Linked DNA regions of Astyanax mexicanus. The protein of the gene in region 1 purifies or fractionates together with the protein of each later gene. This does not show direct contact. Links are inferred from orthologs where the notes say so. Each region holds a gene or a part of one and is shown on either strand. Other genes may lie near its edges. The genes, in order: gnl2, usp36, rpl35 and krr1.

The links.
Region 2: the proteins of gnl2 (region 1) and usp36 purify together in Homo sapiens (affinity purification with mass spectrometry; 3 studies listed by BioGRID and IntAct, with this or other methods). This does not show direct contact. The link is inferred for Astyanax mexicanus from reciprocal best matches to the Homo sapiens genes GNL2 and USP36.
Region 3: the proteins of gnl2 (region 1) and rpl35 purify together in Homo sapiens (affinity purification with mass spectrometry; 3 studies listed by BioGRID and IntAct, with this or other methods). This does not show direct contact. The link is inferred for Astyanax mexicanus from reciprocal best matches to the Homo sapiens genes GNL2 and RPL35.
Region 4: the proteins of gnl2 (region 1) and krr1 purify together in Homo sapiens (affinity purification with mass spectrometry; 3 studies listed by BioGRID and IntAct, with this or other methods). This does not show direct contact. The link is inferred for Astyanax mexicanus from reciprocal best matches to the Homo sapiens genes GNL2 and KRR1.

Annotation. Positions count from the first base shown.
Region 1 is NC_064413.1:32,199,311-32,208,169, reverse strand, and holds the start of gnl2 (nucleolar GTP-binding protein 2), read right to left. Parts: upstream 3,224-8,859; 5' UTR 3,096-3,223; coding exon 3,032-3,095; intron 1,325-3,031; coding exon 1,240-1,324; intron 1,078-1,239; coding exon 983-1,077; intron 70-982; coding exon 1-69. UniProt on the Homo sapiens protein: GTPase that associates with pre-60S ribosomal subunits in the nucleolus and is required for their nuclear export and maturation.
Region 2 is NC_064426.1:43,488,521-43,496,479, forward strand, and holds the start of usp36 (ubiquitin carboxyl-terminal hydrolase 36), read left to right. Parts: upstream 1-4,805; 5' UTR 4,806-4,958; intron 4,959-7,296; exon of another isoform or gene 7,297-7,405; intron 7,406-7,959. Other genes in the region: timp2b (metalloproteinase inhibitor 2b), read left to right, coding at 1-112, 1,451-1,648. UniProt on the Homo sapiens protein: Deubiquitinase essential for the regulation of nucleolar structure and function. Required for cell and organism viability.
Region 3 is NC_064424.1:25,163,176-25,171,136, forward strand, and holds the start of rpl35 (60S ribosomal protein L35), read left to right. Parts: upstream 1-4,693; 5' UTR 4,694-4,697; intron 4,698-4,756; exon of another isoform or gene 4,757-4,760; intron 4,761-7,961.
Region 4 is NC_064409.1:26,516,195-26,523,941, reverse strand, and holds the start of krr1 (KRR1 small subunit processome component homolog), read left to right. Parts: upstream 1-4,081; 5' UTR 4,082-4,122; coding exon 4,123-4,210; intron 4,211-5,796; coding exon 5,797-5,969; intron 5,970-6,374; coding exon 6,375-6,509; intron 6,510-6,606; coding exon 6,607-6,732; intron 6,733-7,663; coding exon 7,664-7,747. Other genes in the region: cAMP-regulated D2 protein, read right to left, coding at 1,002-1,135, 1,237-1,435, 1,613-2,011. UniProt on the Homo sapiens protein: Part of the small subunit (SSU) processome, first precursor of the small eukaryotic ribosomal subunit.

The DNA.
Region 1 (8,859 bases):
CCTTCTTCACTGCACCCATCTCATCCTGAAACTTCTGCAGGGACGACTGCTTGATGACCCGAGTATTAGCTGCAGAAGCATCAGAGGAGATAGACAGGTTAAAAAGCAGTCCAACGTTTTCTCTCACTGGGCCTGACATCACAATTAAACACTAGTAGGTGTAATCACTTGTGTTGCCAGCTTTTTAGATATTAATTGCTGTGTTTTGAGTTTTTAGACAACAGTAGATCTATACTGCTATACGAGCTATACATTTAGTACTCTAAGTTAAAGCCAAGTGTAATTTCTATGGCGTTCTATAGTGTCCCATGAAAAGATATAATAAAATATTTGCAGACATGTAAGGGGTGTACTCATGGTTTTTGAGATCCTGTAACTGCACAAATTCTGACTTTTTTAATTTCTTGAAATAGATACAATATATGGGGAAGGTAATGGCACAAAAAGTTTAATCTTTGTTGTTAATTTTCAGATTTTGTGTGACATTTCTCATATTCATGTGAATTTCCACAGCAATTAAGCAGGTATATCTTAATATTACCCCTGAAGATAATTTCTGCACCATTACAGACTTGTTTTACTCAAGTTGCTTTTAATTGCTGAGTTGTAAGTTTATGCATAGTGTTGAACAAGTTCATATACAATTTGTCTCCAAAAAGTCAATTTGGAGCATTTCTATAGGTCCATTCATCATATTTTTTTTTGCTAAATGTAAGAAAAACTATAGCAAAATTCAAAACGTGTCAAAAAACCCAAAACAGAGATAAAAAAAAAAAGTTTTGCATTCTTTCACAAACTGTCGGCATAAGGTCTTATCTCTTCCATCAGAAATGTGCAACAAAACTGGACAGGTTAATTTGGATCAGTTAAAGCCAAACAGAAGTGATGCAGTATTTTCAATGTAATTGTACCGTGATGTAACATAATTGTACCTCATAAACAGTATAATTTATAATACATATGAAACAGTTAATAAACTTACCAAACCACTTGATGTTGGGTTCAACTCTGGCTACAGTTCCAGGAGCCACAGTGGACTGGTACTGTAATGTCTTAATGACTTTACCCCGATTGTTGCTGGGGAGAAAATACAAAAAAAACAACAAATACTTGTTAGTTAAGTAAAAAAAAGTGTACAGGAAGATACTGTATAATTCTGTTTTATAGTTATAAATGTGATCAAACAGCACAACACAGACTGATTTTGTGTCATCATTAAAGAATAAAAGCCAAGATTACCATCTCTGTTTTTGTCTGTACATATTCAGACGCTTGATAGTGGCCCGGTCCCTCATGTTGTTTCCTCCAGTCCCCTTTACTCGATCTAGAAAAAAAAGAGATGTTAATTAGAAGCTGTTGAGCAAAATTCATATCAACAGACAACCATAAAATAGTGTTATACTGTAGACTTGTACACATCGTTCTTCAGTGGTCAGAACTGGCATGTGTGTTAGTGTGTTTGTGGGGGTACAAGTAGATCTTTTCTAAACACTGAGAGTTTTTAATCACTGTCCATTCACTGTCCACTCTATTACACAATACCACAAACAACCTTGTAGAACCTTGTAGACAGTTTGTGCTAGTCATCTTCTAGTCTTTTATCAGTGACCACAGGACGCTGCCTACAAGACACTGCTGTGTGTGACTGGATATTTCTCAGTCCAACAGTGACACTAAGGTGTTTTAACACTCCGCCAGCACTGCTAAGTCTGATCCACCATGCACCATCACAACACACACTAACACACAACCATGTCACTGTCAATGCACCCAAATAGTAATACCTGCTGTATGATTATCCTGACCATTTAGGAACAGAATGAAAAAAGGCTAAGAAAGTATACAGAGAAACACACTAGCTTTAGTCCTATAGTTTATAGACTATGACCCTACAAAGTGCTCATATACAGCTCTGGCAAAAAATAAAAGACCACTTCAGTTTCTCTATTCACTCTCAGTTTTGCTATTTATAGGTATATGTTTGAGTAAAATGAACACTGTTGTTTTATTCTATAAACTACGGACAACATGTCTCCCAAATTCCAAATAGAAGTATTGTCATTTAGAGCATTTATTTACAGAAAATAAGAAATGGCTGAAACAACAAAAAAAGACACAGAGCTTTCAGACCTCAAATATTGCAAAGAAAACAAGGTCTTATTCATAACGTTTTAAGAGTTCAGAAATCAATATTTGGTGGAATTACCCTGGTTCTTAATCACAGTTAATCACACTCCTCCACCAGTCTTACACACTGCTTTTGGATAACTTTATGCCACTCCTGGTGCAAAAATCCAAGCAGTTCAGCTTGGTGTGATGGCTTGTGATCATCCATCTTCCTCTTGATTATATTCCAGAGGTTTTTATTTAGGTAAAATCAAAGAAACTCAGCATTTTTAAGTTGTCTCTTTTTTTTTTTAAAGCTGAATATTCATGACAAGAGTTATGGCTGATCTATAGTTATTGCCACCTGCTAGATACCGCATATTCCATTCAGATCATATAATTGGTAGTAATTGATTCTAACACCAACCATACTTAAAAGAGATGTTTAGGTTAGCTAGGTAAAGCTAGCTAAACCTAGCTTAGCTACATCAGTTCATTGCGGATGAGCTAAACGAAGATAAACAATCACAAGGAAAGCCATAGACAAGACTTTATCATAAAATAATAATAATAAACAATAAACGATCTATTAGAGCCGGACACTTTGCTCGTTGACAGGAAAAACTGCTTACGTTAAGAAATAGATGCAAATCAAGACATTTAGCTTACGTTAGCTGACGCTTTAGACTCCGTGACTTTACTAAGCTAGCTAACAAAACTAGCAAAACGTCAGCTCGCGCGCAGAAATACACAATAGCAGAAACGCGAAAATAAATTGTATAAATCCTACAAATACACATAAATACATCCCGCATGATTTCATAAGTCAGTAATCTCAGCATTATGCACTTTCGGACCACAGCTAGCCTGCTGGCTAACGCTAGCTGTTTACATCTAGGCTGAAATGATTAAACCCGTATCTTACCGGGGTTTGAACTGGAGTTTGAGGGGTTTATGGAGCTCCTGCCTTTAAACTTGGGTTTGGTCATGTTGATCAGATGTTGATCAGGTCTATAGGAGTCCTGCTGTTGTGATTAATCGGACAGATCCGCTCCGCTCTCTTCCCTCACTCACACGTGTTACCCTGCAGGTCCACATGCAGCCCGGCGGAAACGCGCACAAACGCGTCATCAGCCGAGCGACTGCCTGACGAACCTGGTCAAACAAAAATATGACTGTGAAATAAGTAGGAAATATTGCGTTTAATTTTGAGTTTATTATCGTGAAACTAGTCAAAAACACGTTGCAACTGCCTGTTTTTTCCACACATTTCTTTTTGTTCACAGTTTTCCCTCTTTAAAAGCTCTAAGACACCCAGTAATCTTAGAGGTCAGTGTACATTTAGCAGTTTAATTTTCTGACTGTATTAAGCTAAATTTGAAAATAGAAAATTGGGTATAAAACTTAATTATTATTTTTTCCTATTCAGTAGAATGAAAAAAAAGTTTTTCATCCAATTTTTCAATATCAAGTTTTTCATTTCAGTCTTTCGCAAACAGAATTTCAAGAAAACAATCTCTCAATTGTAGAGAATCTTCTCTCGATTTTCAGATTTGTCCATTTTTGTATCTTGTAACATAAATCTGATGTTATAATCCTTGCAAAATTAAAAAAGGAAAAATCAGTAAATAAAGAAAAGGCTTTTTATTATTATATGTCCTGAAAATTCATTTGTGAGGTGCAGAGATGAAAAAACAAAAACTGGAAAAATGGACGAAAACTTAATTAATAATGTTTATTATTATTTTATGATACAAAGTCTTGTTCATGGCTTTCCTTGTGATTGTTTACCCTCCTTTAACTTATCACTTATGAATTTATGACACTCTAATGCATGAGCTGCCGTTTTTTTCAGTGAAGTGGGCGGGGCTAAGCGACTGTTTCATTGGCTTGTAAAGCTATACATTGGCTGGTTTATGCTCTATTCTGATGGAAAAAAGTTAGTCTCAATTAGACCCAACTGAGATGGATGATTTGGGATGAACTGCAGCTTCACAGCATGAAGGAAAAGCAGAAACTATTGTTCAGCACCTCCAGGAACTCCTTCAAGATGCTAAGAAAACTATTCCAGGTGACTCTCCCTCATGAAAACACTGAGATTAAAATACCAAGAGTGTGCAGATCTGTCCTCAAAGATAAATGTGGTACTGTAATCTAAAGCATAAAACATATTACGGTTGGTTTAACACTCTTACTTTTTTACGGTTGGTTTAACACTTGTTTACACAATAATTGCGTTCCAGTATGTGTTCCTGTATAGCTTTAAAATCTTCAATATTACATTCACAGTGTAAAAAAAAATCATAAAAGAGATTAAGAAGTGTGTCCAAACTTTGGACTGGTACTGTATTTTTTTGTAAAAAAAAAAAAAAAAAAAAAAAAAACTAATATAGTTTAAAAAATAAATAAACAAACTAAACCAATAACTAGGTAATTGTAACTTATTCATTCTACGACCCTGATAGCAAAGAACATTAAATGAATATATATATTTTTTGGTTTCATTACATCTTTTAATGTTACTTATGGAAAAACATGCTTAAAATAACCTTTATTTAACATGGCTTAATAGGATTCTAAACCTAAAAATGCTTTAAGGTGAAAGGTTCTTCCTATATATAATAATATTAATATTAATCGTTGTTATTTAATGACATACAATTAAAAAAGATGAGCGAGTTATTTAATTAAAGCTATATATTTCCACATGACAGTAACTACATTATATGATTTATAAAAAGTTATGTTTATATATGTTCTTTTTCTAACTTATTAGTTCATAATTTTGAGCACCTTGTTTCATTGTGACAGTAAAAAAAGCTAATTAAAGATCATTAGCTTCCCGAAATTAATAAGTAATAAGTTAGAAGAATATATATGAATTTATAAAATAATTAATAATAAAAAGGAAAGGTTGTGGTTCTCTAACATTGCACCCTTCATCCTATACAGTTTAGTTGAAATATAATTACAGCACATTCTGTGAAGACTGTCATATTGTTTAAAGAACACTTTAATTAAATTAATTTAAAAATCTATTAAAATTCACTGATGGTGGGCGATAAACCGGTATTCTAATAAGAGTCGTTATAAGCTTTTGACTGGTAGAAACTTGTCTTCTGATGCTGTTGTAGGTTTGAGTTTGTCAAACTTTTTCTTGTACCAGATTTTTTTGCTTTTTCCTGTATCCAAATGTTGTTTGATGGCGTGGTAAATTATACCTCAATCTGCTTTATTTGTAATTTCTCTGAAGGTAGGACATACAATTGTTCTAAGGACCTGTTTGTCTTTATTTGTTAAGTGTCTTTTTAAGTCCAGATCAACATTTTGTTTTTAATTGCTTCAGAGAACCTGTGAGCAGTTGACTTGAAAAGTTCCTTAATGCATTAATTTCCATTATTTAAGAACAATTACTTACTTTTTACTAAGTAAAAAGCTTTCTACCACTTGAGGACTTGCACCAGTTCAGTGGAGTTTAAGTGCTTAAAATTCAATAAAACATTTACCAGTTATTCAATAAAACAACATTTTACCAGTAGTTTACCTACTTCACTGCAATGAAATATTTTATAATTAATAATGTTCTCCAATATTAGAGCTGATTGTGTGAACAGAAAGAATTTCAGTGTATCCAGAAGAGGGCATACATGCATAGGTCTAGTAATTACTCACTGGGATGCTGTCCAATGTATAGCTAAATGTGGCATTGGAAAACTGATACTGCAGCATCCTACCAAATATTTTCTTACGGTTTATGTTGGCTTTGTTGCTATTGTTTTTTTCTAGGAATTTTGTAAGTCTTTGTAACGATGAGAGATAATCTTTAACAATGCAATAATCATCTCTGCCCTCTTTTGAGGGTTCCTTACTTACCCACATGTTTACGAATATGAAATGCTGTTTTCTCATCGGACGCTGTTTACAATACCAGTACATTTCCCTAGAGTCCAAGTTTATGCACCGGATCAAAACAACATTTGGGGAAATTAACTAAGTGGTACAGCGCAGGCAGTTTTGAATGTACCCTCAGCCTTCGGTTTCCTACAGTAGAAGAGTCCAGACCGTGGAATGTTCTCTGTTCACTTTCACATGGACAGGATTGAAACTGACAGCATCAGAAATGTGCCACAAATGCACTCCAATCACAGACACGGCAGCTCCCCCTTTTGCCAAGTACATGCCATAGTCTTATTCAACCAAAAACAAGAGCAAGAAATCCTTTTTAATTATTTTCAGATTTATTTCTCCTCTTCAGATCATCTTTCTACAACATACAACATGTAGTAAACAAGAAATCACAGGAATTAAAAACAAGCTAAAAGGCTAAAATCGAATTTTGGGCATCGTTGTAAAGGTTCAAGAAGGTTTATATTTGAGAGGAAATGTTGTGTATACTTTCTTATTTGAACTTGTGTATGATGACTGCAGGTCCCCTGATTACTGGGTAATAAATTCCTCAAAAATATTTAAATATTCCTCCTTTTTAAAATATTGAAAGTACCATGTTTTGCTAGTTTTGTTAAGTCCAACAGATTCAAAGAGATTTTTATATGCACGCCATTACCCCATCATTTACATCTATAGTAAAGAACAAACAAGATCACATTTTTGACCCACTGACTGACTGACTGACTGACTGACTGACAGTAGCTGAACTCAGTATCTTCCAGGCTGGTGACAAAGGCAATATGATGATGGGTCATCACAAAACCCCAAGAACAATTTAAATGTGCTTCAGCATCAATTATACAGCTGTACCCAAGGAACAGAACACAATGCTTTCAAAAATCTTTCCTCAGTTGGTGTTTTCATATTGGTGAATACATCTGATACATTAAGCTAGGATTAGGCTGTACACACTTTTATATACTGTCACGTAATTTCAAAAAATAGCATGGTACACAGTGCACAATAGCGAGTATATCACATTACTGTGATTCTGTGATACTCTATATATCACAAGACAATTCTGTATGATACTTAACAGTGTCTGTGTTACTTAAGAGGATGAAAAACTCCTAATAAAGCAAATACTAGAAATTAGTAGTGAGTAGTGAAGCAGGAACTTCACTAAGTAACATTGGGGTGTGTCTGAGGAAGTTTTAAACACCTATGTCTTAATACAAATATCTTTTTACAAAAATCTCAATACAAATATATTTTTGACACCCCTAGTACACAGCATTACAATTCATTGATAGTTTCGCTAACTTCCTTTTAGGTAGTAATAATAGGATTCATTACATTATTTATTTTCATATCTTGCTTTGATTGGTTAAAGGCACCTGCTGCAAATTGTAAATTCCAGGTTTGCCTGTTTTCTGTTTTAGTTTTCTGTAATTAGTGTGATAAACTGGCAACTATGAAGAGCATGTGTACACATTTGGAGATACCATCATAATTTGTACCTTATTTCTGTTACATTGCCCAACTTAACATTGTTATGGATGGATCTTAAGTGGGATGACAGGGCTATAAAAACTTCTGTATTGCCCCGACCACTGTTGTAATGATAATACAGTAGTAATACCATAGTAATAACATAATAACATTGAAAAATACAGTAACACATGGTCATAGTAATAACCTTACATAACTAAACATGGTTATAACAATGCCAACACAATAATAGTAGCATGGAAACAACATAATGATGGCAAAAGCATAGATAGTAATAACGCAATAATAATAATAACAATAATAATAATTATTATATTGTGGTATTATATTGGTATATTGGTCTTTATGTCTGTCTGTGAAAACACTTTTTTTTCTTCATGAAATGGGTATCTATTTTGTTTATTGGTCTCCCTGTTGCCTTGGATAAGTTTCAGGAGTACCTTATGTCTTGACAGGGTTATGACTGTTCTGAGATTTGACTCTAGACTATTTGTCTAATACATTTCTAGGCATTAGCTTGCAAAATTGATAAATTATCATTACTCACTCTTTACTCTTTACTTTAGTTTCTGTGTAGGTAAATGCCACTGCAATGTTCATATAAATAAACTAATACTACAAACAATAATACTTTATATTGTTTATTAATTCATTGTTTAATCGCTGTTAATCACATGATTGCACAGACATTGTCCAACACAGCTTTCCAAACAAGTCTGCAGAGCTTACACTGACATCCAGTGTTTTATCTTACTCTGAGAGTGGAGTGAGGTCTCTCGTGCAGACGCGGAGTACGGCAGAAGCCAAACCAAATTAAAGCACCGCAATAAATAGCAGACTTAGCAAGCAATCTTATACCAAAATAAAGGATTCAGCATGTATTAGATTTTATAGAACTACATAACAGCTGCAGACAGGGAAGCCCCATGTGCTCTTGCACTTCTTCCAAGAAGTTTGAGTGAGAGGTACTTGAAAGATGGCTTGCTGAGACCTCCACCCACCTCTTTACCCCCTATGACCCAAGTGCACCGCAGTGCAGGAGGGAAAGCTTGTTTGTTTCATTTCTCGTTCTGGACTGGGTAAAGGTGCAGGGTCATGACATCCTTCTTGGTGCACACTTAATCTGTTTTCCGAGCTGCCAGCAAACTGCCTAGCAGCCATTTAGGAGAAAGTGATGATGGATTGAGATTACAGCCCTCTCTGGGTTTTGAGCATGTCTGACCTTTTAGAGAATGAACACGGACTCCCCTGAACACTGTGCCCATTGGCACCCGATTGGTCAGCAGGTTAAGGGCCCGGTGAGTAGCCATCATCTGTCTTAAACTGGCAGGTCTCTTCTGACAGGATATATAT
Region 2 (7,959 bases), on another chromosome or scaffold:
TGATGGCTCGGTGCACATAACTCTGTGTGATTTCATCGAGCCGTGGGTGTCCCTGACCGTCGCTCAGAAAAGAGGCTTCGAGACTCGCTACGAGACGGGCTGCGACTGCAGGGTACGTACCGGAGCATAGTGCACATCAGCGTCCTGCTCTCACTGCTCATTTAAACACCTTATTTCTGTATTTAAAGGGTTTCTACATAGGGCTTCATAATTAACCCATTAACAAACCTTGAATAATGTATTTATAAGGCAATATTTATTATATCCTGAGATATGCCCTAAGATGTTTTATGAAAGATGTGAAATTATATTAATTTAACATGTGTGAGTGATAATTATTTTATATAAAAACATTAAATAAATAAATGGTTTAAAGAAGGAAAACAAAAATGTATGATGGAGCTTTCATCATGCATGACATGTCTGCTGATTTCTGCTTAAAGATATGTTTATAAAAGCGTATTGCTACTTTTGTTTGATTGAATTGTAATGTATTGTAATTGTAATTAGTCATTACATCATTACAAGAATGAAGCAGAGGTCCCTCACCACTTTAGTTTAAGGGAATCAAATTCTTTCATGAGGCAAAAACAGGCCTAAGCACTGTTAAAAACCTCTTAGATATAATAAAGACAGATAAAATGTGTATATATATATATATATATATATATATATATATATATATATATATATATATATATATATATATAGTTTTGTAAATGTGTTGATACTTCAATACTTATTCAATACATAACCTATGTTGATACGTTGTTAACACCAGCTGCTGCTTTAAAAAAATCCTAATAATGTTAGAGGAAATGTTGCAGTATGACGTAAAATAAGTTGGTAGTTGTCCGGATTAAAAAAATCCTAATGTTTGAGGAAGTGCTGCAATATGACAAAATAAATCTGTCATTATTTAGCTTTTAAAAAATCCTACTGTTAGAGAAAACATTGAAATATATGAAATAAAATAAATCTGTCATTGTTTAACTTAAGAAATCGTAAGGTTACAGGAAACTCTGCAATATGACATAAAATTAATCGGTCATTGTTTGACTTTTAAAAAATTCTAATGTAAGAGAAAATGCTGCAATATGATGTCACAAAGCAGTTTACAGCAATGTGATCACAGATTAATTTGACATCAGTTGTAAAAAGCGCCATACAAATAAATTTGATTTGATGATTTGATTTGATAGTTTGCCTTCAAAACGTCCTAAAATTCCTAGTTAGAGGAAATACTTTTTACCATTTTTTTGTCTAAATGTTTCCGTTTACCAAATATTCGTTGTATCCTTATTTCTGATGTTATATAACACAAAATAAATCAGTCATTGTTTGGCATTTAAAATCCTAATGTTAGAGGAAACTCTGCAAATGCGATATATAATATTCTAATCTTTGTACTTTATTGTAACGTCTGTTTCTCTCATGCGTTTTCTGACAGATCGTTCGCTGTGCCTCTGTTCCCTGTGCGGTTAATGATCCAGTAGAGTGTCTATGGACGGACTGGATCACGGAGAGCACTGTGGCGGGTCCCCAGACTCAGCACTACACCTGCATAAAGAGGAACGATAACTCCTGCGCCTGGTACCGCGGCGCCGCCCCGCCCAAGACCGATTTCATGGACATCGAGGATCCGTAAACCTGCAGACAGCAGCACACTCCAGAGCTCGCTTTAGAAAGGCCTCTAAACACTGCTACGGACCCTTTAACATAATCCTGCCCTTCTTCACCTGTATTTAGTACTTTTACACCACAGTTCCTGTTACATAACACGAGATGAAAGGATATGGCAGAGGTGAAGTTCTCGGACTTTCTTAAGCACTTTGAGTCCCCAGTAGCACCTGGCTGTGACCTTACGCTGTAGAGAAAATACATTTTTAAAAAAAGCTAGTACCACTTTTAGCGTTTTTCTATTTTTTATATTTGGGAGGTAATTAAATCACAGCAAGCATGAAAAATTGCTAATAGTTATTTTATCTAATCCATGCTAAATGCTTTTAAGATGATAATGATTAGATAAATGCTCTATTCGGGAGGTGGAGTTATGTAATGTAAAGTAATGTTACTATAGGACGCCTTTAAAATTTATGACAATAATGCAATCTGGTGATATGCTAGTTTATGTATGTTGTAATATATATATACAAACATTTCTAATTTATATCTAAACATTCCATTATCTTGTTTTTTCACACAATAAAAATAGAATACCCTTTTTCCCCATTCCTATTTTTACATTTTTCTATAATTTTGTGTTTTTATTGTTAAGAGTTAAACCAGAGTTGAGGCGATTAATGTTTATAATTTCCAGTATTCCTCCAGTCTTTCAGTCCGATAATCTTCAACATTCAACATTCAAACGTCAATTGTGTGGAAAAGGTTGTGAAGCCTATGTTTAATGTAGTCATTTTGTATATCATGGTATTGTTTTTTTAGTATTTTTTATTTCTATGCTCCTGTACTGTGTTTGTTTTTCAAATGTTTGAATGTTTTTTTTTTTGTTTTTCTTTTTTTAGTATCACAAAAATAAATAAGTGTGAGATTTCCGGTGCTGGAACCACTTGGGAAGACTTTGAGAGCTAACCTGTGCATGCCTTTCATAATTCTGTATTATTCATGTTGGTTTAACAGTTTTAAATAAAGGAAAAGAAAAGCACTTAATGGAGTCTTGGGATTTTGTGTGATATACATTATATTGTTTCTTTTTTGTTAAGTTGAAACCTCTATATAGACTTTCCTTACTTTTTTATATTTAAAAATAGCAACTTTAGACTTAAATTTTACTTTACTTCATTTACATTTATAGCATTTATCTGATGATCTTATTTAGAGTGACTTACCAGGTTATTCCTATTACAGAGTTGGGCCAATTTAGTGTTAGGAGTCTTGCCCAAGGACTCTTATTGTGTGTATGTATAAACATATTTGACTAGAGTGTTTTAGAGAATATACTGGAGCATCCAAGCCTCCACTACCAGACACTGCAACAGCTTCTTCCACCAGGCAGTCAGACTCCTCAACACACAGAGACGGAACTGAACCCCCCCTCAATAAACACATTTAGACTGTACTGTGTCGGTACTGTACAATATTTCATGGTATTTTTGCAATAACAATACTCTTGGCGATACGATAAAACACTAAATAAAAAATAAAAAATGCACTACTGCAACAAAATAAAAATTTAATTTTATAATTGCAATACGATATATGACGTACCCCTAACTGAGATATAAAAAATACAAGAATTTTATCAGATTTGTAACAGAAGTCAATGATCCAGAATGCCATGATACTAATAACAATGCACTTCAAATATCTCCATATATTCAGGATTAAAGTAAAATAAATTATACTGGACAGATATAATCTGTCTGTAGTAGATACATAATGGGAAATGAGAACAGTGTGAATTTTTCTTTTGATAAAAACAGTATAAAAGTAGAGCCCTGATGTGATAATTAATTAGGGGTGGGTGATATAGTACGATATTTCAGGGTATAATATCGTTCACCATATTAAAAAATGTTGGCAATATTATTGTGTACGATATGATATGGCACACAGCCAATATAAACTCACGTGTATATACACCTCTGGAAAAAAAAAACAAAGAGACCACTTAAGTTGATGAAATGAAGAGATCACTTCAGTTTCTGAATCAGTGTCTCTGATTTTACTATTTATAGGTTTATGTTTGAGTAAAATGAACATTGTTGTTTTATTCTATAAACTACAGACAACATTTCTCCCAAATTCCAAATAAAAATATTCTCATTTAGAGCATTTATTTACAGAAAATGAGAAATGGCTGAAAGAACAAAAAAGATGCAGAGCTTTCAGACCTCAAATAATGCAAAGAAAACAAGTTCATATTCATAAAGTTTTAAGAGTTCAGAAATAATCAATATTTGGTGGAATAACCCTGTTTTTTAATCACAGTTTTTTCCATGCATCTTGTAGTACGGTGGCCAAGAAAGCCCAGCGCAGTGCAAATTGAAAAGCGCTGCAAAAGCACAAAACACATCCATCAAAATTACAACACAGGCGCTGCAAATAGAAAAACGCGCTGCAAATAGAACCACAACACAACGGAAGTGAGTCACAACACAACGGAATTTTCCCGGGGGACCTTAAAAGATACTGTACCAGCTAAGCTGCGTCTTCAGTAACATCTCGGACTTCACTATGTGTACAAAGGACAAAAAGTGGCAAACAAGGCGTTTTGTGAAGCAGAACTTTTAATAAACATAACTTACTTTTCAGAAGCTTGTTTGCCACTTATTGTCCTTTGTATACAGCTGGTACAGCATCTTTTAAGGTCCCCCGGGAAAATTCCGTTGTGTTGTGACCCACTTCCGTTGTGTTGTGGTTCTATTTGCAGCGCGTTTTTCTTTTTGCAGCGCGTTTTTCTATTTGCTGCGCCTGTGTTGTAATTTTGATGGATGTGTTTTGTGCTTTTGCAGCGCTTTTCAATTTGCACTGCGCTGGGCTTTCTCGGCCACCGTAACTCCTCCACCAGTCTTACACACTGATTTTGGATAACCTTATGCCTTTACTCTAGATGTTTTCAATTTGGTAAAATCAGAGAAAATCATCATTTTTAAGTGCTCTCTTATTTTTTCAGAGCTGTATATATATAGTGAACTATAGTGTTTAAATTTTATTTTTTTGGACATTATGTCCTATAGCATAGTAAACAAGAAAACGTGATCAGAGCAGTCGCTGGCTGAGTCTCGTCCTCTGATTGGTCAACAGAAATATGAATGAAGCGCCGCGTCAGACTTTTCCCCGCAGCTGATTGGCTGGTGTGTTCCGTTCATCATTGGAGGCCCCGCCCTCAGATAATGCAGCATGGGGGAGAGAGCGCAACAAAATGAAGGACTTCAGAGCCGCCGATGGTCTTTATAGTACCGCAGACTGAACGATTCCGGCTGCTCCGCGGATGGGTATGTACAGTACGGTGTTTTTAACCCATACTAAAACATCTACACAACGTTATCTCCAGTGAACGGCTCGTGTCGTGCTCGGTTTATCGGTATAAAGAAACCCCCGTTCCCGCGGCGGGGTGGTGGTGGTGGTGCAGTACTGCACACGGCGCAGCTGCGGATCCGGGGTGTTGCGTCAAATTGCGCTACCCGTCAAAATGTGCTCCCTACCTACACTGCGCATGCGCTGGTGTGTTTATTTTTGTGAAGAAAAAATGTTTTCTCCATGATAAATGATTTAGCTATAATTTTCATTGGGTTCATTAAACCTAAATATCATGGTGCTGCTTTATGTATATATATTATTGCATTGTCATTTCAATGTGTATTATTTTTTTAATTATTAATATTTTGGCTATTTTGTTTTCATTGTCTTACTAAAACCGTATCTTTTGTTTATGCGTTTATTTATTTGTTTATGTATTCGTTTGTTTTGCCTCAGGGCAACATAAATATGCAGTTACATAACAAGGTTAACATGACAAGCAGTGGTATTTCTTCTTCTTCTAATTGTTATTAATATTAATATTATTATTATTATTATTATTAATATTATTATCATTATTATTATCGTTATTATTATTATTTTATTATTTTTCTCAACAAATATGAAAATCATGCTATAGAGAGTTTAAAAAACTCCAGTGTCATTATTTGCTTGAACAGTTTAATATATGTGTATTGTATTATCACCTCTACCTCTAACTAAAGTAATGTTTTAACTTTTACTTTAATTCAGATTCTTTTTAACTATCCACATATCCTACTTAAATATTTGAAAACAGCATGTTGTTTTAATATGGTGTAATATTCTTGTCGTATTTTAGTAGCTATATTAGATACATTTCAATAATACACTATGGTAGCAGTTTTTGGCGGGGTAGCACATATTGACATAACACCGTGTTCGTACACTGTAAGGCAGTAGTAGTTGTGGAAGCAGCAGCTAGGCCAGGCAGCGCTGTGTTTTAGCTAAATATCTATACCTATAATTATACCTGTACCACCGTATCTTTTAGTGTCGTAGGGAAATATAAATATGGTCATATTAACCTATATATGGACGAATAATCAGTTTATATATGTTATGCTTTGGTGTATGTGTTAGGTTAGCTAGGTTGGTTGATCCAGACTAGTCGCTGCCATGTGGTTGAGTATGATGCTGATGTTTGGCCTCACCTGTGTGGACGAGTAGCCAGCGTGGGGTTTAGTTAGGTGGCTTGCTACAGCTAAATGTGTTCCTAAATACATATACATATATTGACTTTTTGGACAAATTCTACCTGTTCTAGATACATATACTGTCACTTTGTTCTTAATGCTGCTAGCTAAAATTAGGATTAGTAGTTGTTTGTCAGTGGAACCACCCTGCGAGCAAATAAAACATTAACATTTAATATTTAAATAACGTTGCATTACCTACCTTTTTTAGAGTTGATGGGAAAACAACATCTAAACAACCTTTATAAACCATTGCCTAAAATAATGCATGGGTTCGTGTAAAAATTCATACATAAGATGCATTGAATCTACGTTCATTTAAAGGTTTTAAATGGCTGTGACTTTTCTTACTCTAGCTCTTACTCTAACTACTCTCACATTAATGCTTTTAGATAAAAGCTTATATTAGTGCTCTTCTCAAATAATATTTTTTTTATTATTTTTTTAATAGTAATAATTATTATAATTATTATAATAAATTATTATATAATTATTAGAGAAAGTTAATATTATATAATTAATTATAATAATTATTATTGTTTAAATGTCTATTTAGACTGCGATTTACACGATATAACAACCTATGTTACACGTTGTAAGTTAGTTATGTAGCTAAGTAAAGTTCAATATAAAACAGACATAACGTTGTATCAACGTATGATTGGTGTGCACAACTAAATCAGTCCTGAAGCTGGATAAAAATATTGTTTTAATGCATTAGAAAAGGAAAATTAATGTTTATTTAATATATTTTTTTCTGTCAGGATAGTTAGCTTGGTAGGTTAGCCAGTTCACGAGCTATGGTAGAAAACATGCATGCGTTAGCACTGTTGCTAACTATAATTTTTCTGACAGGATTATTGGCATGTTCGACCCCAATTTGTGACATTATTGTCTGTTTATTAAATTTATCTTAAATATAATCTTTTAATATTGCGTAGCTCGTTGGTCTGTCATATAGTTTGCTACAAGTGAGCTAGCTAGCTTAGTTAGCTTGCTAATAATTCCCACAGGTTTAAACGTAGGCACCAGAAAACGAAAACGTTAGCTTAGCATTGCTTGCTAGCTTTCCTAGTGCACGAGCTCTGGTAGAAAACATGCCTGCGTTAAGCTGAGCTAGCACTGTTGCTAACTAGTCATTTTGGCTTTTTAGCTTTTAAATGGTCCTTTTCCTGACAGGATTTCTGGTCCGTAAGGCTCCATTTTTTATATTATATATTTATACAGCGTAAAACTTATTCTAAACTATTTAATATTGTGTCGCTTGTTGATATAATGTAATATAGACTAGCTAAGGTAGAAAACATGCCTGCGTTAGCACTGTTGCTAACGATCATTTTTTCTGACAGGATTCTTCGCGTGTTCGACCCTAATCTGTGACATTATTATTTAATTATCGAGTTTAAAGTTAATCTTTTAATATTTCTTTGCTGTTTTAATATAGTGTTATAGCAACCTAGGTTACCTAGCTAGGTTGCTAATGTTTCCCACAGGTTTAGGCAAAATGCATTAGTATAGCATTAGAAAACATGCTTACGTTAGCACTGTTGCCAACTAGTCATATTGGGTTTTTAGCCTTAAAATAGCTGAGCTAGTTGCCTATGTCTGACAGGATTCCTGGTCTATATTGTATATTCTTTTCACATTATTGTCTGCATCTTGCCTAAATTTAACATTTAATATTATGTATCTTGTTAATAGAAGTACTGTTTAGGCTGTGTTAGTCATTTTCTAAAATAGT
Region 3 (7,961 bases), on another chromosome or scaffold:
TCTTTCTCCGTGAACATAAAAGCATTGATAGACCAGGGCCAATAAAGAGAATAAGAAGAGGAGACCAAAACCAGATAACTGAAACAAACAAAACAACACAACATCTCAACTTAATGTGTTGTTGTGTTGTTCACAAACATGTTCACCAATAAACATGCTTCAAATTAACATTTACTGACTATTTCTTTTGAACACTCATGTTAAATGTGTCGTCATTCGCCTTCACTCTGTATTTGGGCCCTATTTTAGTGATATAAAGTGTACGGGTCAATTGCGTAGCTTTTTTGTGCAGCTGGATTTAGGGCGTGTCGATGAGGGTGCAAAAAATACTCCTTGCGCAGCTCGAAACACACAAAAGGCATGAACTAATTATCTTAATTAATCATGGGTGTGTTTTGGGCGTAACGTAAAATAAACAAATCAGTGTCTCTGGCCATTCCTTTTAAGAGGCAGGTGCACTCTGACTTTGACGCTTTTGTATCTTAACAGTGTGGCACTTTGTTCTTTTCAGCAGAGGATACTGACCTATGGGTTTACGCTGTGAAGGTCATTTAAAGGAACAGCAATGTTATTTTATTCTGTTTATTGTTGAGTTAAAAGTCTTGTTTGTGCTCTTCAGAGCGTCTGTGTTTGCACCTATAGGAACGGACTCTAGATTGTTGATGGGGTGAAAGGATGCCTTGGGCAGGGTGTATGATAGAGCCCATAATGTTTGATTTTACTATAACCTGCAACAACATTGATGTCCAAGTTTTAAATTTAAAGAATAATGATGTAAAGTAAGAATTTAAAAATAAAAATGCATTTTAGATCTGACATAGACACACATTTGGTAGGGAAAGTAAAGGCCCTGTTACATCAAGTAAAGACAGATTCACACCAACTACAATTTTTTTGGATGTAAAAAATGAATGTTTTTTTAGCACAGTGGAACTTTTACAACGACTCTGACATGTTTTTGCCTTCTCTTCTCTGTAAACAGCTTTTAAACATAGATTTCACTTTATCTCTGCTTTCTGCTGCTTTGATCTGCTCTTTGATTTCCTCCTCCATGCGAGTGCCCATCAGCCCGAATAAGAAGTTCATTCATGGTTATTTGTGGATCATAAACAGATTCCGACACACCTAGACAAACTTTATCAAACAGGTAAAATAGTGTCTGTCTTTTGGGTAGAAGTACAGATCACCCCACTGAGTATTCATGAGTATGTATGTTTGATAGTTTAATAATAGTGTGTGACTGAGCTGGTTAACCAGACTAACCAGTTTGATAAGTATTCCAAACATTTAAGAGCTGTGATTCTACCTACTCAACAAAATTAAGGATCAGTAGCTTACCTTTGATGTGTAATATGATTTCTCTGCTATGTTCTGTTCAGCTGTCAGGGTTTGGTTTAGGTCACACCATTCCCAAAGAGCCTGCTGACTGCTTTCAGCATGTTCTGCACTTACAGTCCGATAACAAGCCACGTATCTTCCATCACTTAAGAACAAGACAATCCAAACAATACTAGGAATCAAGTACTGAAAGCACTGGCAGACAGTTTTGGACGTTATGCAGCATTTGCTGCCTTTCAGTTTCACTTTTCCCAAAAGAGTCCCACTACTGGGAGGTGGGACATTAGTCACCCCAACATTAATATCAGAATTCCCACCTCCCTCAGGTTGGCTGTCCGGTCCTCCACTTGTCGTAGCAGACTTTTCCACATTCCTCACAATGTAAAACATGGCGACGTATCCTATAAAGGCGGGCATCAGAAGGTAAATCCAGAAAAAAGGTTTCTATAGAACCTTTCGCAAGGGCACACAAAGTCAGCCTCGATAAACTTTTCAGACACAATAAGGCAGATAACCACAAAAATTAAGTAAATGTTCTTTCCCTTATGGGTGTCGAGAAATGGTTCTAGCAACTGGTCTATCATTTTTGGTTCCAGTAGAGGATAGAACTGTTCCTGAATCTATACTAAAAAGGTACCGTTAAACAAAATGCTGCAGTTGCCTGTTCTAACATGCCCTGTGTGTTGTTTTGACAAAAGTGAAAATGAACTTTCACAGATAAAGTACAACGAGGAATGTAGGCTCCTGTGTTCTAGAGAATTCCTTGGTCAGGCCCCTCCCTAGTGTTGTGTAATTTTTGTTTTGTGAATTGTATTCATATACAATTACAGCATGTTCTTGCTATCACCTGCAATAACAAACCCGCCCCCCTAACAAACCCCCCTCTATAACCTGCTCATTGGTGAGATAAACTGCAGCAGGGGTCGCCAACCTTTTTCAAACTGAGAGCTAATTCTTGGGTACCAATTAATACAAAGGGTTACCAGTTTGATACACACTTGAAATCACAAACTTGCTAAATGTAACTTTAATTATGTTATTATTAATAATTAATTATATTCATCTATATAAATACACTGTACACCATATTTCTTATATTACATTTTACTGCTGCTGTACATTGTTTAAAGGTTTCAGACGATGTTTGCAGATTTTGTTTTCCTGAATTAACACTGTTGCCACACGTTTGTCATGTTTGTTCATGCTGCTTGTAGTAAAATGTGAATAAAAATATATACTTATATATAATAATATGATATATAAAATAAACAGTCAAAAGTTTGGACACTCCTTCTTTAATGGATTACACCTTATGTAATGTTTTTTTTTTTTCGTAGAATCTGTTTATTTTTACAAGAAAGCAAATAATATTTAAGGGGGTAAATCTTTTTACTGACATTATGTAAGCTGTGTAATGATATGAAGAAGTCAAGGTTTATTTCACATCTTGCTTTGGACACTGTTTCTAGTGTCACATGGTAATTAGCAGTGAAATTTACAATATAAGTCAAATGTATTTTACAGTAGGGCTGAAAAAAAAGAAGAAAAACTCAATGTGTTTCAAGTAAACTTTATTCAAACATTTAAAATTTAAGCCTGACATGCCCAAAGAACATACAGAAAAAGTACTTTGATGATTTGAGGAAGAGGGGAAAAAGTCAAGTCTTATAGTCTTATATCATATTCAGATACCAGTCTTCTTCAGCTAAGCAGAGAACAGTCAATTTACTTCAAATTCATTTATATAGCACTTTTCAAGCCTTTTATGAGTAAACACCACAGTGATAGTGCCAACAGTGGGCGAAGAAAAACTCCCTCATATTAAGAGGAAGAAACCTTGAGAGGAACTAAGAAGGACTTCCACCTCAGATCAACCCGGACAGCACAAACAAATAATGTAACAAAAAACAACTGTACAGAGAAATAATGGAAAGCTTTAGGTAATGTATAAACAGGTTATGAGTTATTAGTGCAAGTACTGACTTGCAGGCCACTGACTTGCTTACAGATTAAGGTTTTAACATGGAAACATGAAAACTGTAGGTTAAGGAGTAATAGGAAATTCACAACCATGCAAAATAAAATGAAATAGGCCTCATCAAATACTCCCAAACATGACCTGTGAGGGGGCTGTTCTAATTCCAGATGCAATCTACTAAGAGCATATCAGTCCTACTGATTCTGAATATGCCATACAACATGCAGTACAAAAAATACACCCTATTTTTTTTTTTTTTTTACATGTATAGAATACAACATGATGCTTTTGCTTGATATTTTCCATGCAAAACAAAATGTTACACAGGTAAAGGGTCATACCCAAGATCTTTTATTTTATTGGTGTAGGGTCATAGACGTGTTCAGTCTGTCAATCAAACCCCCCCCAGTCTGTCACAGGAAAGGTAGTCCTACCAATGTTGCTAGTCACTACACTACACCACCCACATATGATCTATTAAACAGTATATTATAAATAACTCAAAAACAATTAACCTGATGTAATTCTGCATTACTGCATGTTCCAACAAGAAAATCATCCCCATCCTTAGAATGCTGCTAATCATAAGATTGTAATTGGTTCAGCCGTCATCTGTTTCCACAACTGTGCCAGTCAGCTCATCAGGGGTTGCATCGCAGCATATTTTCATCCATGCAGAGCAGCATCTTTTACAGCATGCAGGCGCAAGCTGATAAACCAGTGCCAAAAGCGAAAGTAAGAAGATGAAAGCAAAACCAGATAACTGAAACAGAAAAAAACAACACAACTCAGCTTAATATGTTCATTATGTTAGGATCAGTAGAACAGTTCTGATTGTACTGATGTGTAAATCAGTAATCAGTAGCTTACCTTAGATGCATAATATGCTTTCTCTGCTGTATTCTGGTTATCTGTCAGGGTCCGGTTTGTGTCACACCACTCCCAAAGAGCATTTGTACTGCTGACAGCATGTTCTCCACGTAGTGTGGTGTTAAAACAAGCTACATATCTTCCATCACTCAAGAACAAGACTATCCATACAAAAACTGCCATAAAACTCTGACCATATGGATTATTGGCAGCAGCTTTTAGCAGTATATACACTTTTTTTAACATTTCCTTTCTTACAGAGTGATTCCTATTTATTAAAGGTTGGGTTTCCTGTACTTCATTAGAGCTCCCGGGCTCCAACTCAGATCTTGCAGATGTTCCACTTTCTGCTAACTGGATACCCGGTTCTACACGAGATCTTCCGGACTCCACATCAGATGTTCCACTTTCAGCCAACTGGAAAAACAGTTCTACACGAGGTCTCTGGGACTCCACATTAGATGTTCCACATTCAGCCAACTGGAAAAACAGTTCTACACGAGATCTCTGGGACTCCACATCAGATGTTCCACGTTCTGCCAACTGGAAACACAGTTCTACACGAGATCTCTGGGACTCCACATCAGATGTTCCACGTTCTGCCAACTGGAAACACAGTTCTACACGAGATCTCCCAGACTCCATATCAGAACTCCTACTTTGTGTAGCAAGTTCATCCGTGTTGTTTAGAACGCACAACACAGAAACATATGCTACAAAGGCAGGCATCAGAAGGTAAATCCAGAAAAAAAGTCCTCTATAGACCTTTTCACAAGGACACACAAAATCAGCCTCAATAAACTTTTCTGCCAAAAGAAGGCAGATGACAACAAAGATGAAGAAGATATTCCCCTTATTTTTGTCAATAAGTTTTTGTAGAAGTGGTTCTATCATATTTGGTTCCTGAAAAGGACAGAACTGTTCTTGAATCTAAACTCAGAAGATCCAACAGACAAAATGCTGCAGTTTTCTCAAGTGAAAGTGTAATGACAGTATCATAGGCGGAGTACAAAAATAAGCAGTTCCCTAAATTCTCATGTTTCCTGGACTAGCTCCACCTTAGTGATGTGTGAGGTATGAGTGAGATAAACAGGGGTATTGTACTTCTATAATTTACAGGTCTCTACATGAAAATATTCACACATTTTCAGTTGTCTTGTTGAGAATGGAAAATCAATCCGATGTATTGTAAAAATATGGCTATAGCCAATTTGGAAAGACCTGAAGAAGAAACTCATCACTGGTGTATGAAGTAACAGATGTTGAACAGGTAGTAGACCATAGAAAAACACAGCAGTTAATGACAGAAACATTGTAAGTGCTGCAAAGAAAAACCTAAATCAATTGTTGGTGACATCAGCAACAAATTGGGGCAGGAGTGAAAGTATCACACTCTACTCTTCACAGAAAACCTCATCAAAAAAGTACAGAACCGTCACCAAAAGATGAGAACCACTTATCAACAAAAAGAAGAGAAAGAGCAAGCTGGAGTTTGCCATGAAGTACAGAGACTAGCCTATGGACTGATTATGGACCTATGACAAGAGAATCTTAAGAACCTATGAGAAAGATGAATCTGTACCAGTGTGTTGGAAAGGCTAAAGGTTGGAGAAAGAAAGTATGCAAAATAAACTCTAGTCTATAGTAACATTTTGTCTGTCAATAAGAAGAAATGTGCAACAAAACGGATTGGGAGATCCTTCATCTTGCAGCAAGATAATGACCCAAAACACACTGCCTGGAAAACCATCACAAATGAAGAATGTAAAAGCGTAGTGATGTCAGTGGGTCACAGGCTTGATGCAGTTATTGAAGGCAAAGGATTTGCAACTAAATATTTAGCTCTATTCACTTTAGTCTATTTTAAGTTGATTTATTCCAAAATTAAAAAGAAGTGGGTTCATTATGTAATAAACATGTGATGACATTTATCAAAGACCAGCATCACTTGAAACATTACAGTGATGCAATGAACATGTAACTTGCAATAAATGCATTTGTATATTTCTTCTACCTCAGTTCTTTTTTTGTGTTCAGTGAGAGAAAACTAGCCTGTTTTGGGCATGAACAAGTGTATTATGTGAACAACTGGATATATTTTTTTGTTTGGCATCCCATTACTGTAAAATGATACAGTAATATCACTGGAAATGTATTACATGAGAAAGAGATCTTTAGAGAAGAATTTAGTCGTGCGATATAATAACCCATTGATTTTTCTGTTTTATAGGACTCCAAACTCATGTTGTCTTATTTTTTAGTATTATTACTGGAAACATACGTATTAAATACAATGAACAATGTTACACGATGTTCAGCAGTTATCATTTGATAACCATTTGATTTGCTTATTTTATATGACAAACATTTCTAAAATGTTACACTGATCTACAGATAGGTAGTTGTATTTCTGGTGTATATTAGTTGATTAGATCTGGATAAATCATTTTTATTTAGGTGTAAAACTATTTTCTATTCTATTTTCAGTCTCTGCTGGAGAAGCGCGTGCCTCTGCTCCTCCAGCTCCGCTGTGCACGCAGCTACCGTAATACACTGTTTAGACGTGCACACAGGTTTTTGGTGCGGATAGCGTGACCGATTTACTATTTCTTTATAATTTACCAACAATCTCACGGCCCGCGGGCCGTACAATGCCCAGGTCTGGTCTAGTGGCTTTGTGAGCACTTTGAATAAATGACTTGAGACGTGTTTCAATAACAAATCATACAGTAACAACATATATAAAACTACTTCTACCAGGATCATGCATTCTAAACTTCAGAAATATCCAGTCAAAATGAAAACTGTTATGAAATGTAGATTCACAGCAAACAGTCATGGCCAACAGTGTTGGCACCCCTGAAACTATCTCTCCTAGAAAATGACTGCAATTACACGTTTTGAAGTATATTTGGGGTCATTGTCCTGCTAGAAGACCCCTGATGTAGGATGAAAACCCAGCTTTTTGAAACTGGGACCTACAGTGCCTTGCAAAAGACAGGCCCCTTGAATTTTTCAGCCTTTTGCCACATTTCAGGCTTCAAACATAAAGATATGAAATTGTATTTTTTTGTGTAGTAGTGGGACAAGAAGGTGCTCTGGTCAGATGAAACCAAAAATTTTTGGCCACAATGCACAACATTATGTTTGCCGTAAAAGCAACACAGCTCATCACCCTGAACACACCATCCCCAATGTAAAACATGGTGATGGCAGCATCATGGTTTGGACTTGCTTTTCCTCAGCAGGGACAGGGAAGATGGTTAAAATTGATAGGATTGATGGAGCCAAATACAGGACCATTCTGGAAGAAAACCTGTTGGAGTCCGCAAAAGACCTGAGACTGGGATGGAGATTTATCTTCCAACAAGACAATGATCTAAAACAAAATCTACAATGGACTTGCAGCTACAAGCGACTTGCTGCTGTAGTCCAGCTGGAGAATGACCCCTTATATACTTCAAAACGTGTAATTGCAATCATTTTCTAGGAGAGATAGTTTCAGGGGTGCCAACACTGTTGGCCATGACTGTTTGCTGTGAATCTACATTTCGTAACAGTTTTCATTTTGGCTGGGGTATTTCTGAAGTTATAAGAATGCATGATACTGATAGAAGTAGTTTTAAATATGTTGTTACTTTATGATTTGTTAATAAAACACGTCTCAAGTCAATTATTCAAAGTGATCACACTAGACCATGCACAGCTGATGTGTTTTAATCCAACTATAATAGTATTGTGTGTATGCAAAGCATGTTTTTAAATATGAAACTAA
Region 4 (7,747 bases), on another chromosome or scaffold:
TTCTGCTCTTTGTTTGTCTGTGCTGGTGTACACTGTCCTGTTCTTCTCTATGTTCGCCTGTGCTGGTGTATACTGTCCTGTTCTGCTCTATGTTCATCTGCGTTGGTGTACACTGTCACGTTCTGCTCTTTGTTTGTCTGTGCTGGTGTATACTGGCCTGTTTTGCTCTATGATTGTCTGTGCCGGGGTATACTGTCCTGTTCTGCTCTTTGTTCGTCTGTGCTGGTGTACACTGTCCTGTTTTGCTCTATGTTCGTCTGTGCTTATGTATACTGTCCTGTTCTTCTCTATGTTCGTCTGTGCTGGTGTATACTTTCCAGTTCTGCTCTATACTCGTCTGTGCTGGTGTACACTGTCCTGTTTTGCTCTATGTTCGTCTGTGCTTGTGTACACTGTCCTGTTCTGCTCTATGCTCGTCTGTGCTGGTGTATACTTTCCTGTTCTGCTCTATGTTCGTCTGTGCTGGTGTATACTGTCCTGTTCTGCTCTATGTTCATCTGCGCTGGTGTACACTGTCCTGTTCTGCTCTTTGTTCGTCTGTGCTGGTGTACACTGTCCTGTTCTTCTCTATGTTCGTCTGTGCTGGTGTATACTGGTCTGTTTTGCTCTATGTTCATCTGCGCTGGTGTACACTGTCCTGTTTTGCTCTATGTTCGTCTGTGCTTGTGTATACTGTCCTGTTCTTCTCTATGTTCGTCTGTGCTGGTGTACACTGTCCTGTTCTGCTCTATGTTCGTCTGTGCTGGTGTATACTTTCCTGTTCTGCTCTATGTTCGTTTGTGCTGGTGTACACTGTCCCGTTCTGCTCTATGTTCGTCTGTGCTGGTGTATACTGTCCTGTTCTGCTCTATGCTCGTCTGTGCTGGTGTATACTGTCCTATTCTGCTCTATGCTCATCAATGCTGGTGTATACTGTCCTTTTCTGCTCTATATTCATCTATGCTGGTCTATAATGATCTTGGTTTATGCTGGTCTGTTTACAAGTATGTGTGTGTTCTTGCCTTGCTGGGATCACCCCCAAACACTGCAATGTTCTGCTTGACCCAAAGCAGAGCAGCCTGCTGGTCCAATATCCCATAATTTCCCACTGAATCTGATCTGGGGTTTGTCCCTGTAACCAGAAAACCAAAGGCTCCTACAGAAAAAGTGAGAGAGTTAGCCAGAGTAAAACTAATGTAACATGATGTATTGTGTGTGTGTGAGAGAGAGTGCGTGGTGGGTAAGGGGGTTTGCTACCCAGTCTGTAGGCCACGCTAACCACCACGGTGTGCGTGAAATTGCTGATGAGCCGAGAGTCATACAGCGGTTTGGAGGCGGAGCCTGCAATGAAGTCTCCACCATGAATCCACACCATTACTGGCAGCTGCAGCAGGGGGGCGCTAAAGTTCACACTCAGAGGAACAAACACATTCAGATACAGACAGTCCTCACTCACCTGCAGCCAAGCACACACAAAAAATTAAAATTAAATAAATAAATAATTAAATTAAATAACACTGCTTGTGTAACAACAACAACAATAATAATACTAATAATACTACTACTAATAATAATATTAATAATAATGTGTCTGTAAAATCTATAAATATGCCACACACACATGCCCTCTGACCGTTTTCGGACACTTGTCTGTGATTGGTCCAAAGCAGCGCTGCATGCAGGCCGGTCCGGGGGCCGAGGCGCTCCGCTCTCCTCTCCAGGGTGTGACCGGTCTGGGGTATCTCCATCGGTATGCCCCCACAGGCGGGTCAGCAAATGGGATTTTGTAGAATATGTGAGCGGAGTCAGCGGTCAGTCCTCTAATGATCCCATCTTTGGTCAGGACTCTTGGCCCAGTGGTCTGCGGGTCCCCAAGTGGCCGGCCTTGGACCAGGACCCCCGCGGTGACCCTGCGAATCACAGCGGCCACACTAATGTGCTCTTCGGAACCAGACACGGTCCTGTCCGTCACACACATCGCACACACCATCACACACACCACCAGGGCAGGCCAATATACCCCCATAGTCATCACAGGAACAAAGGTCAGCAGTGTTCCAGCAGATGCAGCAATGCTAGTGCACTCTGCGCTAATGCTGGTCTTCCACAACCTTCAGTGTGGGCTGGGTTAGCATCAGCGCGCATGATTCCAATTACAGATGGGGCAGTGCTACTGCACGGTGTGTGTGTGTGTACTTGTGTACATGTGTGTGTTTGTTGAGCATGTAATTAGTAGCACATGCTCTGTTTTACTTAACAGACTAAAGCAGATTCTCATGATCTCCAGGCTCAGTTCTGTTTCTGCAGATCGGCTCTGTTACTTAGTCCTCATCTATCTATCTATCTATCTATCTATCTATCTATCTATCTATCTATCTATCTATCTATCTATCTATCTATCTATCTATCTATCTATCTATCTATCTATTATTATTATTATTATGTTACTAAGAATATAATCTTGTTATTATAATTGTTATTATTGTATAGAACTGTTATTATCAATGAGTAATCTGCTATTTATGAGAGATCAGTGTGTTCAGCTGGAGCTGTTTAGTTCTTGACCAGTGTAGTTAGTGTGTACGGCCCCTGTGTGGGATAAAGTAAAAATAAAAAATCCCTGGTGTGACTGTCATAAAACTAAAACTGTCAGTTATTCACAAAAGTCTGCAGAAATTCTGTGTTCAGGTATACTAACATATATAATACATAGGAATGGATATCGCCACTAATTTCCTGAATCGATTTCAATCTGTCTGAGCAACAGGTTCCTATCATGGTGTTGTTCAGCTTTGTGTCCTTCATGAACACAGCAGACAGTCCTTGTGTTTCAAACAATCCTTAAGTGTTCTAAAGTCTGTGAGAAGATGAAACGGAGGAAAAGAGTGGATGGAAAGATCTTCTGGCCTGTGTGCGACTTTATACCGTGTAGAACAGGCAAGCGCTGGCTATCTGAGGAGAGGTTCCCAGCACTTCACTCAGATAGCTTGTTGTCTCCTAGTTCATATACACTGGTCCCAGAACAGCAGTGAAGCTTCTCTGCCACTCAGGGTCACGTCCTCCTCACAGCTCTCACTGTTGATGAAAACATTCTGACCTTCCTGATTCCTGAAAAAGTACAAACAACCTCCAAAGCTTGGTGTCATTGAGACAGTTAAGCTAAGCTCATTTATTAAGTAAACAGTAAAATAATATATGTATATATAAATGTATAAAAAGAGTATTAAGGTCTAATCAGCTGCTTGGGATTAAATGATGGATTTGTAAAAATAAATAAATAAATAAATAAATAAAAACAAATCACTAAAAACTATTTAAGTAATTAGAATAAAATAATATAACAATAATAAAAAGGAGAAAAGTTAATTGATAAAAAAAGTAAAAGAAAAAAAGTTGACATTAATATAATATTTTAAACTTAATAAGGAAAATGGCTTGTGATTTAATAAATTAAATTTTAATTTTTAAAGATATGTGTATTGTTTGTATTATGTTTAACATTGACGGTTTTAGGCTAAATGCAAAAACATAAACTGTGTGTACATCTTATTTTTTATTTATTATTTATTTTGGGTTTTCATTTATCTCCTCAATTTTCTAGTTATTAATTTATTAATAATTGTCTGCCCTGTACAATCTGAAATTCAGAGAAAATGTAAAAAAAAATATGTATATTAAAATATTTACTCAATCATCTAATGTTTCATGTTTGCATCTGGAAACAAACGTTTTCTGGATTATACCATTAGACTGGAAGAGAAAATAAGGAAATTTAGTAAAGATTTCTGTATTTTTTTAATGCAATTCTGATTGTGAGTGAGAGAAATTTGGAAAAATAATATATATATTTTTTTTCTTATTATGCTTAGCCTTAAACATTACACACTGCCCTTCTATCTGATAAGAGTGAAATCAGTTTAGTAAATAATTAATTTAATAACAAAATATTACTAATACAAATTCACACAGAACACAAATAAAATAAAATAATAATTTAAAAATATATAACACTACTACTACTACTACTACTTATAATAATAATACATAGTAGTTTGTCCTCTGACCTGAAGGGTCGCTGTGAGTCTCACTGCGTTCAAACACGCAGCAGCGCTAAAGGAAGCAGCAGAAGAAGAATCAGCAGTAATGGCGGCGCACGCAGAGGGCAGCGTGAGAGAGAGAGGCGATCAGAAACTCAACAGAAACAGAACCAGAGCCAACCAGCAGCCCTCCGGTACCGCTGCACACACACACACACACACACTACACCTCTACTCACCTGTACTGACCTTTACTGACCGGTACACACAGGGCCGGAGCAGTGTGCTGCTCTGTGTCCCCACTGTTTACCTGACAACATCTATTTAATTAAATTTAATCTATCTTTAAATTATTTTTATTCTTTTACTGATGATTTGGGCGTCTAGAGAAGGTTCTGTATAAATATTTACAGTTAGATCAGAAAATTTTCAGCAAAAGCTTTGCAGTTCTTTTTGGAATTGTCCGTTCCACCTTAAATTCCCTTAGCCTGACCCTGGAGAATTTAAGGTGGAACGGACCATTCTCAAAAAAAAAAAAACAAGCTAGGTCAGAAAGTTTAGTTAAATTGTATACCGAATTAGATGCAATATTATTAAATATAGTACTAGTAATCGATAAGCAATAATAATAATAATAATAATAATAATAATAAAAATAACAATAATATTAATAATAATAGAAAAGCTCAAACACGTCGTAATTAAAATAAATGTTTTTACTTGCATGTATTACTTATTTTGACATTTAATTGTATAATAACATAGTAGATCGTAGTCTGTATTTTCCTATAGACCAACACCAGCAGATGACATGGTTCTCCAAACCATCACTAACCATCAGTAACTTTCATTTGGAAATCAAGAGTGTCTGTAGGAAGAGTGGAGAATCACACAGTCCATGCTGCTTGAGGTCTTGAGTGAAGTTTTTACAATCAGTGATGGTTTGGAGAGACCTGTCATTTGCTGATGTTGATCCACTGTGTTCTATCAAGTCTAAAGTCAGTGCATTGTTTTCCCAGAAAATCTTACAGCACTTTATGCTTCACTCTGCTAACTGCTAACTTTTTTCATTTTCTAACAGGACTTGGCACACTGCCAAAAGTACCAATTGGTCTTATATAATATTCTAAGTATTAATTATTAAGACACTGATTTTGGTGTTTGATTGGCTGTAAGCCAACAATAAAATAAATAAATGCTTAAAACAGATCACTCTGTGTGTAATACATCTTTATAATATGAGTTTCACATTTTGAACTGAACTACTTAAGAAAAAAGTAACTTTTCAAACATATTCTATTTTTTAGATGCACTAGTATATTAAGAATGAGGTGGAAATCATTTTTGGTATATTAGAAAATATTGTTGTAGTTTAAGTTGCATTTCTCTATTATAAAAGTCCTTATTTGATCTGATTGTGATCAGGATAAAAAATAAATGATAAATTTACTAACACTTTCTAATAATTTTTACCACAATTGTATCTATTAAATGTGAATGATAATATTTTAACAGCAACACAATAAAAGTGCCTTTTTTGTATTTTCTGCCCAACATTTGCAGATGCTGAATATTCTGTGCATCTTTATTAATGAGGGGAAAACATTTATTTGTGTGAGCCAGATTGTGGACTATCTGCATTTTATTTCATTCTTTTTTAGATATTTAAACATTGTTATATTTCAATTAAATGTCTATAACTGCTCTTTAATAGAGTATAATTTTATTATTAGTTATTATGAAAGTAAATGAAATCTTCTGGAATATTAATGTGTAATAGATGATTTGGAGCTGTTGACTGTTCCGGATGGATGGAAGGAGCCGGAGTTTACGTGGGCGGATAACCCCCGGGGGCTGCTGGAGGAGAGCAGCTTCGCAACCCTCTTCCCCAAATACCGCGAGGCGTATCTGAAGGAGTGCTGGCCGCTGGTGCAGAAAGCTCTCGGAGAGATTGTGAGTGACCCAAAAACATGGATACCCGTTAACTGGTACAACATAGAACCAAAGCTATGAGGCAAATCGAGATACAAGATACAACGGAACCTTATATGACACTAACAAGCTTTGTTGTCACCTGTTGTGTAGTTTCTCATTTACCAACTGTTTAGTTATTTTTTTATACAATATACATTAGATAACACTGTGGGACACTAGGGTAGATGTGTGGTTAGTGTAATGGTTAAATGAGCTTTAGACACATTATTGCCAGCTTTAAGAAGGTGTAGAAAGATGGAGGATGTGCGGCTGTGTGTGAGGCAGATGCACTGCATTATTTAAGGTGAATGTGCTGCAGTTTGAAACTCGATCTTTAGAATGATCTAAACTGTGGATTTTTATTAATCTGATACTTTGCTGCAGTTTATAAATGCTTCACTGGATCTGATTGAGGGCAGCATCACTGTCAGCACCACTAAAAAGACCTTTGACCCGTACGCCATCCTCAGAGCGCGGGACCTCATCAAACTGCTGGCCAGAAGCGTCCCGTTCGAGCAGGTCAGTACACTCTGGATGCATTCAGGACTTTACACAGTAACTGCAGCTTATTTATTTTTAATGTTTCTCTATTAATATCTGATATCTGAATGTTCAGGCTGTGAGGATTCTGCAGGACGACATGGCGTGCGATATAATAAAGATCGGGACACTGGTGCGGAACAGAGAACGCTTTGTGAAGCGCAGACAGAGACTGATTGGACCTAAAGGCTCTACGCTAAAGGTGAGCTAAGTACTGTAACTTTGGACCTATGTGCTCTAATATAGGATTGAGCAGATATTAGTGTTGTAATATTGGACTTAAGGGTACACCATATAAACCACTTGGATAAATATTACTGTGTAATATATATATATTAGTGTAATATTACTATTATGCAAGGGATCTTTTTCTCAGCTGTTCCAAAGTGGTCAGTGCAAATGACAGTCAGTATAATTTCAAGTCATGACCCGTTAATTTTAAATCCAATTTATTAAATAAACACACCCAATGATAACAGTAATAATAAAAAAAAACTAAAAATGAGTTTCAAAACATTATATATGTTCTGCAAATGGTATTTTTTTTATTTGAAGCATTAAGTGGTCACATTTATTGAAATCAAAAGCTATTTCAATCAAAAATATCTTAACAGGCCAAGTTACATGTTAACATAGGAACTCTTCTTTAATATCAGCTTCACAATTCTTGCATCCATTGAACTTGAGTTTTTGGGGAGTTTCTCCTAAATTTATTTGCAGGATGTTAGAATCGCCTCCCAGAGCTGCTGTTTTGAGTTGAACTGCCTCTCACCCTCAGATATCTTGTGCTTGATGAAACTCCAAAGGTTCCCTATAGGGTTGAGGTCAGAGGAAGATGGTGGCCACACCATGACTTTCTCTCCTTTTTTGCCCATAGCAACCAATGACGCAGAGAAGAAAGTGATCAGTCAGAACGTTTTTGTACTTTGCTAAGGTCATTTTCACATCTTTAGGGACCCTAAAGAGGCTACCAGCTCTCTCTCCATGATTCTGGTCCAAAACACAACTCCGGCCCAAAACATGACTCCGCCCCCTTCTTGCTGACATCATGGCTTTGTTAGGACATGGTGGCCATCCACCAACCATCCACTACTCTGAAGGAAATAAATATGTTTGTTTGTTGTAATGTTTAGGCACTGGAGCTGCTAAGCAACTGCTATGTACTGGTTCAGGGAAACACAGTCTCTGTACTGGGACCCCACAGCGGCCTGAAGGAG